2 linked regions of the Drosophila melanogaster genome follow. The protein of the gene in region 1 purifies or fractionates together with the protein of each later gene. This does not show direct contact. Each region holds a gene or a part of one and is shown in the gene's direction. Other genes may lie near its edges. The genes, in order: Pngl and CG10916.

Region 1 (5,668 bases):
GTTATCCGCTGCACACACTTAGCACAATGACAGACGCTTTAAGATTGAATTGACCGACGCCTACTTTTTCGAGTTAAAGTGGTTGAAAAGTAGTGTGACCATATACGCATAAAATTATGGTCTTTTTTACTTCCGAAGTGACTCCACCAACAATAAATGTGCGATAAGTTGGAAACGGTGAAGACTGGAGAGCGGACTTTTTTTAAAATTTTTTATTCATTGGTATACTGACGTGTTATCAACAAATTAGAAATGATCTAAGAATCCTTGAAAATGCATTTAAAAATTATGCAGTGTTCTCAAAATTCGACCAAAAGGGTTTTGAAAATACCGCCAAATGCTGTACCTGCACCACAGGGAAATCCATGTTATGAACCGATGTATAGCACTATCATTTCGACGCTAACTTTCAGAATGTATTACACCGTTTACAGAGCGTTTTGCCAAGTGGCCCGGTATCTCAACCTTTTGTTTTTAATTTCATTAACTAGCTGTGAAAGCTTTTGCATTAAGCTATGTAGAGTTTTCCAGGAAGTTGCAATTTCAGAACATATTTCAAAAAGTGTTGTGTGACATGAAATCAGCCTTAAATAACTTTTATATTAAAAGGACATGAATTTAGTTGGATTTTAACAAATATATATATATAAAATACTTAGGTTATTTTTATAATTTGCGTATGTACCTTGCGTACGTATGTGCCTTGCAGCTGAGAATATTTTCTAATGTTGGACAGAAACAGATACAAACAACATTCCCAATAGGGAATTCGCTCTTGATCAACATCTCTAGCCGAGGCGACCTGGCGATGTACTAATGTTAGCATAGACATCAAAGTCTCTGGAACTATATTGGTAGGATGTTAAAACTAATCATGCAAATTCTAGTGACGCCTACTTCGGGCAAGTTTGTTTTATTGTATAACTACGCCACTTTCACTCTAACGTCCACAAGCCACAAAAAACTGGCAAGCCCACAATTTTAAAATGAACTTGTTTTCGATTTCCAATATATGCAATGTATTCATCTAAATATTTTGCAGGAATATAATTTTTTTAATCTTTATTCCACATGTACGCTTCAGAATTGGTTGCTAAAACTGAATAAAGCGAATATCCAGTAATTGGATATCTAATATCCATTATACATTGTCTTTAGCATTCTCCTCTGAGAATAAGTTTTTTTTTCGCATGATTTCAATTGATATTTTTTACAATAACATAATTGTTTATCTCTAATTTAATGAAATAAGTTCGAACGTATCCATTACAGAATCCCTGAAATCTTTATAAGCCGAATATTATTCAGACTAAGAAGTAGCAAGCGTTATTCATAAAGATAACAAATAGCGTTAAAAAATATTGAAATATCTTGCCACATGAAAAACGATCTGTAAATGGTGTAACACATTTAGCAAGTTAACATTGGTATGTTGTTGTACATCGGTTCATGTCACTAATTTGCTTGGTGCGAGTGCTGGAGCTGGCAGTATTTTCAAGTCCCTTTGAGCTGTTCCTACTGTAAGGCGAATTTTCGGAGAGCTGTGCATAATTACTTTATCAATTTTCCAGGATCCTTGCTCTCATAAGCTTTCTCTTTGAGCAACAACAATGTAAACTTAATTTGAAACATGAACCGTCCATTTTAGAACACCCTTAGTCCTAAGTGGATTCCTAAAAATTTTTTTTTATTTTTCTATTACATTATGTATTTAATATATAATTTATATACTTCCAAGACCTAATAAATATTGGGAGTTCCAAATCAAAACATTCTTCGATCGCTACTAACTAAAAATGGTAATTGAATGCTTTGTGTATTTTTAATCCGTTTTTTTAAGCAAAAGATTATTGAGTAATTTTTATAATTTCAACACGTGATAACTTAATATTTCTAAGTAACTTATTTCCTATTTAAAGCAATTGTTGAAATTTAGAGATTTCTTACCTTTTTTAAAATGTCTATAAAAAGGAGATCCAAGCTCTATTTTTCGTGCATAAATTTGTTGTGCATCCCCACAGGAAAAGAACATGTACGCTAGTGGAATCCGGCTGGCTTCATTCAACAAAAAAAAACCTAAAAAACACCTCTTTTGTTATCGCTTGAAGTTCGCTAAACTAATCGCGTTTTCCAACACCATAACCCTTTGTGTCTGCATGATTGTCATCCGCCGGCCACCCCTACTAACGACGAAACCAATCTGATAGTGGCAGCTGGTCATCAACATGGTGGACATAAACTTGGAGTGCGTGCACCAGATCGAACCGAAGACCCGTTCTGCTGGTCAGCAGCAGCAGGAGCGAGGGTTAAAGGAAGCCTACCTGGAAGCGGTCCGCATTCTGTTAGTGCTGCTGGAGAACATCTTGGCGCAGCCGGAGAACTCCATGTTCCGCACCATACGGCAGGAAAACAAAGCTATTAAAGAAAAGCTGCTGTCCTTGCCCGGCTGTGAGAGGTTACTGGAAGCCATAGGCTTCGTACGCGCCCCCAGTTCCAACGCCTACACCTTGCCCACAGAGGTGTCACTGCAGCAGGTGAAGAAGTACAGAGATGCGCTGAGCGAGAGACGCACTGCCTGGCTTAACGGCACAGTGTCAAAAAGTAAGCTTTGGGGGCAAGACTGACATCCTAATCATCATGTCTCGGATTTTAATAGGTCCTCCTCAACAAAGCACCACCAGCACCACGCCCTTGTTCATCAAGCCTTCTGTGGAATATCGCCATAGAATCGCCTTCCCCCGTGTATTGGTAAGCCAGCCATCGAACAAGATAGACCTCTGCTGTATTCTGATGTGGAAGCTTGTTTTCAGCGCACCAATAATAACTTTCTGCAGTCGCTAGAGCTTTATTCCGATGCAGTCATGCAGTACGAGGATAACCTGCTGCTGGCTACTGGCCGCACTCTGATTCCTGTGGAAGAGCTCACCGAAATGGCAAGCGAGAAACTGATAGACATCCAAGATCAAATTGCGTCGGGTGAGCGCCAGGAGAAGGAGCCATGTGTTCGCGACTTGCTGCTTGTGGAGCTGGTAAACTGGTTCAACACGCAGTTCTTCCAGTGGGTAAACAATATACCTTGCCGCGTGTGTGGGAGTGAAGAGAGCAGGCTGCGCCGCACTGAACGGGAAGGTGATATAAGGGTGGAAGTCACCGTTTGCTGCGGCCAGGAGAGCAAGTTCTACCGCTATAACGACATTTCCCAGCTCCTAGTTTCCCGTAAGGGCCGTTGCGGAGAATATGCCAATTGCTTCACATTCCTCTGTCGCGCCCTCGACTACGACGCCCGTATTGTCCACTCGCATTTTGATCACGTCTGGACCGAGGTGTACTCCGAGGCCCAGATGCGTTGGCTCCATGTTGACCCCTCCGAGAACGTTATAGATTCTCCGCTGATGTATCAGCATGGCTGGAAACGTCACATCGACTACATTCTTGCATACTCTAGGGACGACATCCAAGATGTGACTTGGCGCTATACTAATGACCACCAGAAGATTCTACACCTACGAAAGCTGTGCGGGGAAAAAGAAATGGTGCAAACGCTGGACGCGATTCGAGCAAAGCGGCGGCAAAATTGCACCGCCGATCGAAAGTTATTCCTCAGCCAGCGCAATATGTACGAGGTCATCGGCTTGACGCTAGAGCGGTAAGCATTTACAGGAAACTGTTCGAAATTAAATTTAATCCCGTTTCCTGTTTAGTAAGCCGACAGAAAACGAGCTGAAGGGTCGGAGTTCGGGAAGTCTTTCTTGGCGGCAGTCACGTGGAGAGCATACTTTTACCAATGTAAGTGATCTGGCCTGAGACGCGCTGCCGGCCGTTTGTCACCTTTCATGTATTTACAGATATTCGTTTTCAATCTAAGTGCAACCGAACTACAAAAAAGGCAACTTAATGTGCGTTACAGCTGTGCCACCGATACATACGAACGATATGCCAAAGGCGAGTCATGAATTTATTTACAGCACTATGAATGCTTTTAACTTTTATATCCATAGAAGGAGAACACATCACTATTTTGGATAGCTATAAGACATGGCAAAAAGCGCAATTTTCCTCAAAGAACATATTTCGGAAAGTGGAACGCGATTGGAAAATGGCATATTTGGCTAGACTGGAGGATACCGATTGCGGAGAAATTGCCTGGACGTTTGATTTCAGCAAGACCAATTTAAAGGTTAAGTCTTACAACTTAGTTTTCGAGACAAAAACTTTTGGCGACGGAAAAATCAGCGTGACTGTCGATGCCACCGACGGAAGCGCTTCGGTTGAAAATGCCACTGGATTCAAAATAGTGGCCAAACTTACGGGTGGCAAGGGCGATGTAGCATGGCAACACACACAACTGTTCAGGCAGAGTCTTAATTCAAGAGACTATCCCTTCGATCTGCAAGTGCAACTACATTGAAGTCCTCAAAAAATATTTTGGAGAAATTAAAATGTAATTGTAAATAATATAAACGATTCCCAGTCTGGATGAAAATATAATAATCAAAAATGTATATTAAAAATTAAATAAAGGCACATAGTGTCGCTATATGTAATTATACTTGAAGTTTTAAGGACTAACTTTTATGAAATTTCTATATATATAGAACAAGCGCATGGAAACAGTTAATACAAAATATAAGGTTCTTAGATTTGGGTTGCAGTTAATTAAAATATGAATGACAAATTTAGAAACGACATTTAAACTTTATTTTCTTCTATATGTCAATATTTATTTCATCCGGAATCAAAGCAATAAATAATTTTATTGGTCACAATTGCTGGGACGATTTTTCAAGATTTACATATATAGATGAAAAAAGGCAAGACAATTAAAAAGACTAGATCGACTCGGCTAGTGATCCTGATAAAGAATTCATATACTTTGTATATTTTGCTTACAACTAACGGGTATACAAATAGATATCATATGTAGGTATTCAGCGATTTTCAGAGAACCGCGCAGTGATTTTGCCATTTTACATCACCAAAAAGTCATTCGATTATTGCCTGCCCTTTATGAATATCGGTATATTAAAATTTTTCGAAACATGTTTTTCGCTAATCATCTACAACAAAATGCGCATATATATATGAATCTTAAAATTTGGTTGAAACATCAAAACATTTTTGTGTAGAATATACATATATACAAAACTAATGTTACATATATTCTTTTAGCTGTATGGCATTTATCATTGGTACCATTACACTAAATTAGAGTTAGCAAACGGTCATACCTAATTTATTGGTAAGAATGGGTCATTATATTGGTATTGAGAAAAAATAACTGTTTTTATTTTATAATAACATTAAAACGTTAATTTTTAGTACAATAAAAGTTAAAAAATTTCAAGGGCACACGGTTTAACATTTTACATGCGATGACCGTTCTTAAAAAATCGACCAAAATAAAAAAAAGTTTTTCATATTTTCAGGTTCTGGTTACCGAAAATAGTTTTCCTTTAACAATTCCGACCCCAGACTAATTTTTTTTTAATATTTAGCCTCACACTTTTACCGCCTCTTTAGTTTGTGAGCTACCTCTCGATTGTTATATTAAGCTAAGATCGGACAACCATCGCAAATTTTCATTTCTTCGTATATATCACCTTCTTCTGGTACGCTTCGTCACTACGTGGACCAGACGCTATGTGCTATATACTATGTACATACATCT
Region 2 (4,532 bases), about 12 Mb from region 1:
TAGTGAAATAAATGAGGGGAATCCTCGAAACGCATGATGCAATATTTGCGTCAATTATGTGCATATCTCAAAAGAGGGGCTTGGAAGAAGACACAAGAGAGCCAAAGATAGAGAGTTTAATTAGCCGTTCTAATAATTTCGTTTAATAGTGAAATGGCCATTGTACATACATACATATATCTATGGCAAAGCACAATAAACAATGATAATGACAAGGCTATTCAACCGTTTATTTTTTGTTAGAAACAGCTGATTGCCGTTTTGTATTTGTTTATATAATAAAGCTTTGTTGACGTACGCAAAGCACAGCTGAAAAGCAACAAATGGCATAATCTCGTACGCATTTTTTGGCGTTTATTTATAGGCGGCAAACAAAGAGCGCAGTTAATGCGTCAGTGTGTGTGCCAAACATAGATATGTACTATGTACTTGCGTACATATGTATGTATTGTTTGTATTTTGGCAAACCAAAACAAACAGAAAATTTGCATATTATGCGCACATTAACTTGTTTCCATTGGAGTGGCGGCAAGTTTGGGAAACATAATTTGAGCCATTGAGAAACCGCACTAGCTGTAAATCAGCTGAATATCCATTTGTAGTTGTATGTTGAACTTAGCAATTAAAAGTGAAAGGATACGGGTGAACGCAGAAAAAGAAACGGGTATCTGGTCCTTGGCACTTACAGTTCATGCAGCCTTTTGTGCTCCTCTTCTCCGTCTGGTGTTTGTCCCTATATCTTTTCGGATTTATTGCGAATTGTACATAATTTGTTTAGCTTTTCCCGTAAAATTGTTTTCCGTGTCCCGAAGCCACGTACCGCGCGTCGTTGCCAGATCGGTTGAGTATCGTAAGTACCTGGTGCCACTTATCGATAGCTAATTTTAAATATTTATAAATTCTTGTGTTAAAAATGACCTGAACAGTATTTGAAACTATTATTGAGCACAGGTGAACCTTTTATTAGTTTTTAGCTATAAAATCCAAATTTATTATATATATACATTACATATTTGACTTCCTGATTATGAAATACATTTGTTTAACAACTGGCATACACTTTAATTAGTCTATTTAGTAAAAATCTATAACAAAATAAAACAAAATTGTTCTGAAACCTTGAGACCTAAATATTAGCAAAAAGTTTGAAATTAAATGTTATAAGCGTTTGAGATCCATGTAAACTTACGAAATATAAAAATAACAGTATTTCTGGCACTACTTAAAGTCCATCTCTATAAAGCTCGTATCCGTTAATTTTAAAATAAAACAAGTGCGCCATACGTATTTAAAGCTCAGTGTGTAAAGGGATTCAGATATGGATGGTAACAGCAAAGAAATGGAAAATTGAGAAGCACCCACAAATGACCCATCGCCATACCGGATTCGGAAACTAATTCCCGAACAGACAATGGGCCACAGGTGCATTCACGACGAACTTGTTCGCAGAAGTACCCGGTTAAAAGCCTGTCCTCTGACTCACAAGAATAACAGGGATTTTCCCGAGCACCCTCTGCTCATGAATCTGGACAGAGACAGCTTATCGGATGCCCACCTGCCGCCCGAGGAAGCAGTGCAGTGCGGCACTAACGAGGACGGACATCATGCGTCTGGGCAAGGTACATTCTTCCCATAAGGTCATGTACATCCCGCAGCACGGTCAAGAGGTTAACGTTGGCACCAACGAAGTACTGGTGCAGGTTTGAAACGCTACTTTAATACAAAGTAAAGATCCAGTAGATAACCACAAAATGATAGCACAGTACATTATCTTAGCCAAAATAGAGTTATGATTAAGACGCTAATATAAATGTTACTTAATATAAATGTTACTTACTTAATGCTATAAGATATTTAAAGGATTATTTTCAATCAAGATTCAAACTTATTAAAATAACAGTATTTCTAGTATATTTGGTATTCTCCAGAGGTCATCTCTAATAAAGCAGGAAAGTTGATACGAATCGTTTCGTTTTCCGCTCATTGTTGTGAAATAAATTTGGAACAGAAGAATAGAGCCACACATATTCAAAGCTCAGTATCCATAGGGACGTAGTTATGGAGAGTAATAGTAGTGAAATGGAAGGTAACGGCGGAAAAATCGCAGAAACTGCACCCACAAATGACTCATCACCTTCACTGAACATTTTATGTGCAATTTGCAACGAGTTTTTCCGGGCCAACGACATAATTTTCTCAACTTCACGGTGCGGTCATGTATTCCACAAGGACTGCCTCACCCGATGGCTGAATAGGTCCAGGACCTGCCCCCAATGCAGAGACCCATGCGACCGACGACGCGTGCACCGATTGTACCTAAACTTCGCCGAGGCCCCGGAGTTCGATGACACCGAATTGCCCAAGGTGGCCATGGATTGGGTGCCCATTGATCTGGACAGAGACAGCTTACCGGATGCCCACCTGCCGCCCGAGGGAGCTGTGCAGTGTGGCACCAACGAAGACGGACTGCCCACGTATGTGGCCAGAGGATATTACCACGACGATCTCCTGCCTGCTCCTTATGTACCGGAAAAGAAGGCTGCCTTCGGTTCGCACAGCTGTAGCGCCCGAACTCTGACCGATGATGTCGAGATCCTGGTGCTCAACGACTGTGACTACAAGTGGGTGCCCGGACAGCATGGAACATATCCGCGGGATGCTCTGAACACGGGCTACTCCGAGCTGGGTGAGGTCACCTACACGGGTCGTGGTCTTTACCAGGGTATCCTGCGTCTGGGCAAGGTGCATCCTTCCCACAAGGTCATGTACATCCCGCATCATGGTCAAGAGGTGAGCGTAAACACCTACGAAGTCCTGGTGGTCACCCCACGTGACCAGGCAGATCGATGATGCTGCTGATATCTTAAATCTCTTATGCCTTATTGTATGAATCTGTGTTATAAATACATATGTACGTCTTATTCTATTTTTGAAAAAAATCGGATCTATTATTTCTGTACTTGTTTTAAATTCGCTTATCAGTAAGCCAAGATTTGTCCCCAATTTCTTTAATCAAGCGAAAAATTGATAACTTTGTTTTGACTGCCAGCAAATTATGTACAAATAAAAGTCCCCATATACATATGTATAAGTTAGTCTGCTATTTGCTGCCCTCAAGTATGCAATTCTTTATAATAGTTTGGAAAGTGAAGATGTTTGTGACTAGACACGGGTTTAAAAATATTTTGACCTTGACTTGATCAATGCCTACGATAAACGGAAATCTTGGTTTTTTGTATATTGTATCTAAAACGGACCAACTGTCTTCAAAATGGCAAGATTAATAAAAACTGCGGTCTTAAAGCTTTCTTACTATCGCTTTTGTAAAGTATGCACAACCGAGAGTTGCCCACAGAAGTTCTGGAAAGTGGAAACGCAGAAGACGAGGGGAGTCACCCACAAGGATTCGGAAAATACATTCATCCAATCAGGTGATGTAAATACGGAGGTAAGACTATGACATTCTGCTGGTGATTTCAAAAGTTTTCAAAAGAATTTGTTTTAATGTTTGATTAATGATAATGCAATTTTTTTGTTTTATTAAAAATGTGTTAGACGCTATTTATATGCTGATTAGTGTTTTGAACCTACGCATGTTGCGAACATATTGATTATACCTAAACAAAGAGGTTTAAGTATCTATATAAGACTACTCGTATAACTCTACAATTCATGTTTTTCTCTGCACTCCGGCTTGGCTTTGTTGTTCCAACAGAGGGCCTCACAAAATTTGCTTTAAAAATACGTAAGCTTGTATAATTCGTTTAATAAATCGGCTGAACCTGCACTATAACATGACATTTAATATATAAGTATATATTTAGCTAAAAATACAAATTTTTATATGTTCAACATGCTTTTAACATTTCACCAACAGGCGTTTTACTTTTCAATAGAAATAGGATTATTTTTGTTTTTTCATTGACTTTGTACTTAGTTTCTAAGCAATTTGTATATATAAATATAAAAATGAGTGTGTGTGACTGTATTTTGTGTGGGAGTGTTTATGTGGCGTGGTTGTGTGGGACTACACAAGACATTCATATATATATAATTGGTATTTACAAATTTAGTGGCTCCAATGTGTAATGCATGCATGCTTAATATTCTTTAAGCCTGGATTTGAGATGGATTTGTTTTGTGATTGGTCTAAATTGTTTTGTATTGGTTTAACATTTGAGCTCAGTTGAAGACAAAATAATGTGAAAACAGTCTACGTGGATATACACATCCATTAGGAAACATATACGAAGGCGAAACAAATAACTTCTAAACGGACTTCAAAAACAATTTTCGTACATGTGGATGACTTCGTAAAGTGTATAAACTCATTTCTGGGCCGACAAATAGTTCATGTACTGAGTGGTCTGCTGGGCATTCCGCACCAGCTCGCTTTCCTCCTTTCCGGATGGTGGTTGGCCCTTATCCGCCTGCCCCTGCCAGTTCTCCTCGTTCTGCGGCTGATGGATGTCTGGCTGGGAGCGGCGTGTGAAATGGCGGTGCCGCTGGTGCTGATGCTGATGTGGATTTTG

What was found.
Region 2: the proteins of Pngl (region 1) and CG10916 purify together in Drosophila melanogaster (affinity purification with mass spectrometry, with the first as the bait; one large-scale study listed by BioGRID). This does not show direct contact.

The regions. Positions count from the first base shown.
Region 1 is NT_033778.4:6,015,608-6,021,275, forward strand, and holds Pngl (PNGase-like), read left to right. Parts: upstream 1-2,131; 5' UTR 2,132-2,225; coding exon 2,226-2,601; intron 2,602-2,656; coding exon 2,657-2,748; intron 2,749-2,810; coding exon 2,811-3,646; intron 3,647-3,701; coding exon 3,702-3,786; intron 3,787-3,845; coding exon 3,846-3,942; intron 3,943-3,998; coding exon 3,999-4,408; 3' UTR 4,409-5,088; downstream 5,089-5,668. UniProt on the Drosophila melanogaster protein: Specifically deglycosylates the denatured form of N-linked glycoproteins in the cytoplasm and assists their proteasome-mediated degradation. Cleaves the beta-aspartyl-glucosamine (GlcNAc) of the glycan and the amide side chain of Asn, converting Asn to Asp.
Region 2 is NT_033778.4:18,171,752-18,176,283, forward strand, and holds CG10916 (uncharacterized protein), read left to right. Parts: upstream 1-1,917; 5' UTR 1,918-2,058; coding exon 2,059-2,850; 3' UTR 2,851-3,974; downstream 3,975-4,532. Other genes in the region: CG5726 (uncharacterized protein), read right to left, coding at 4,329-4,532.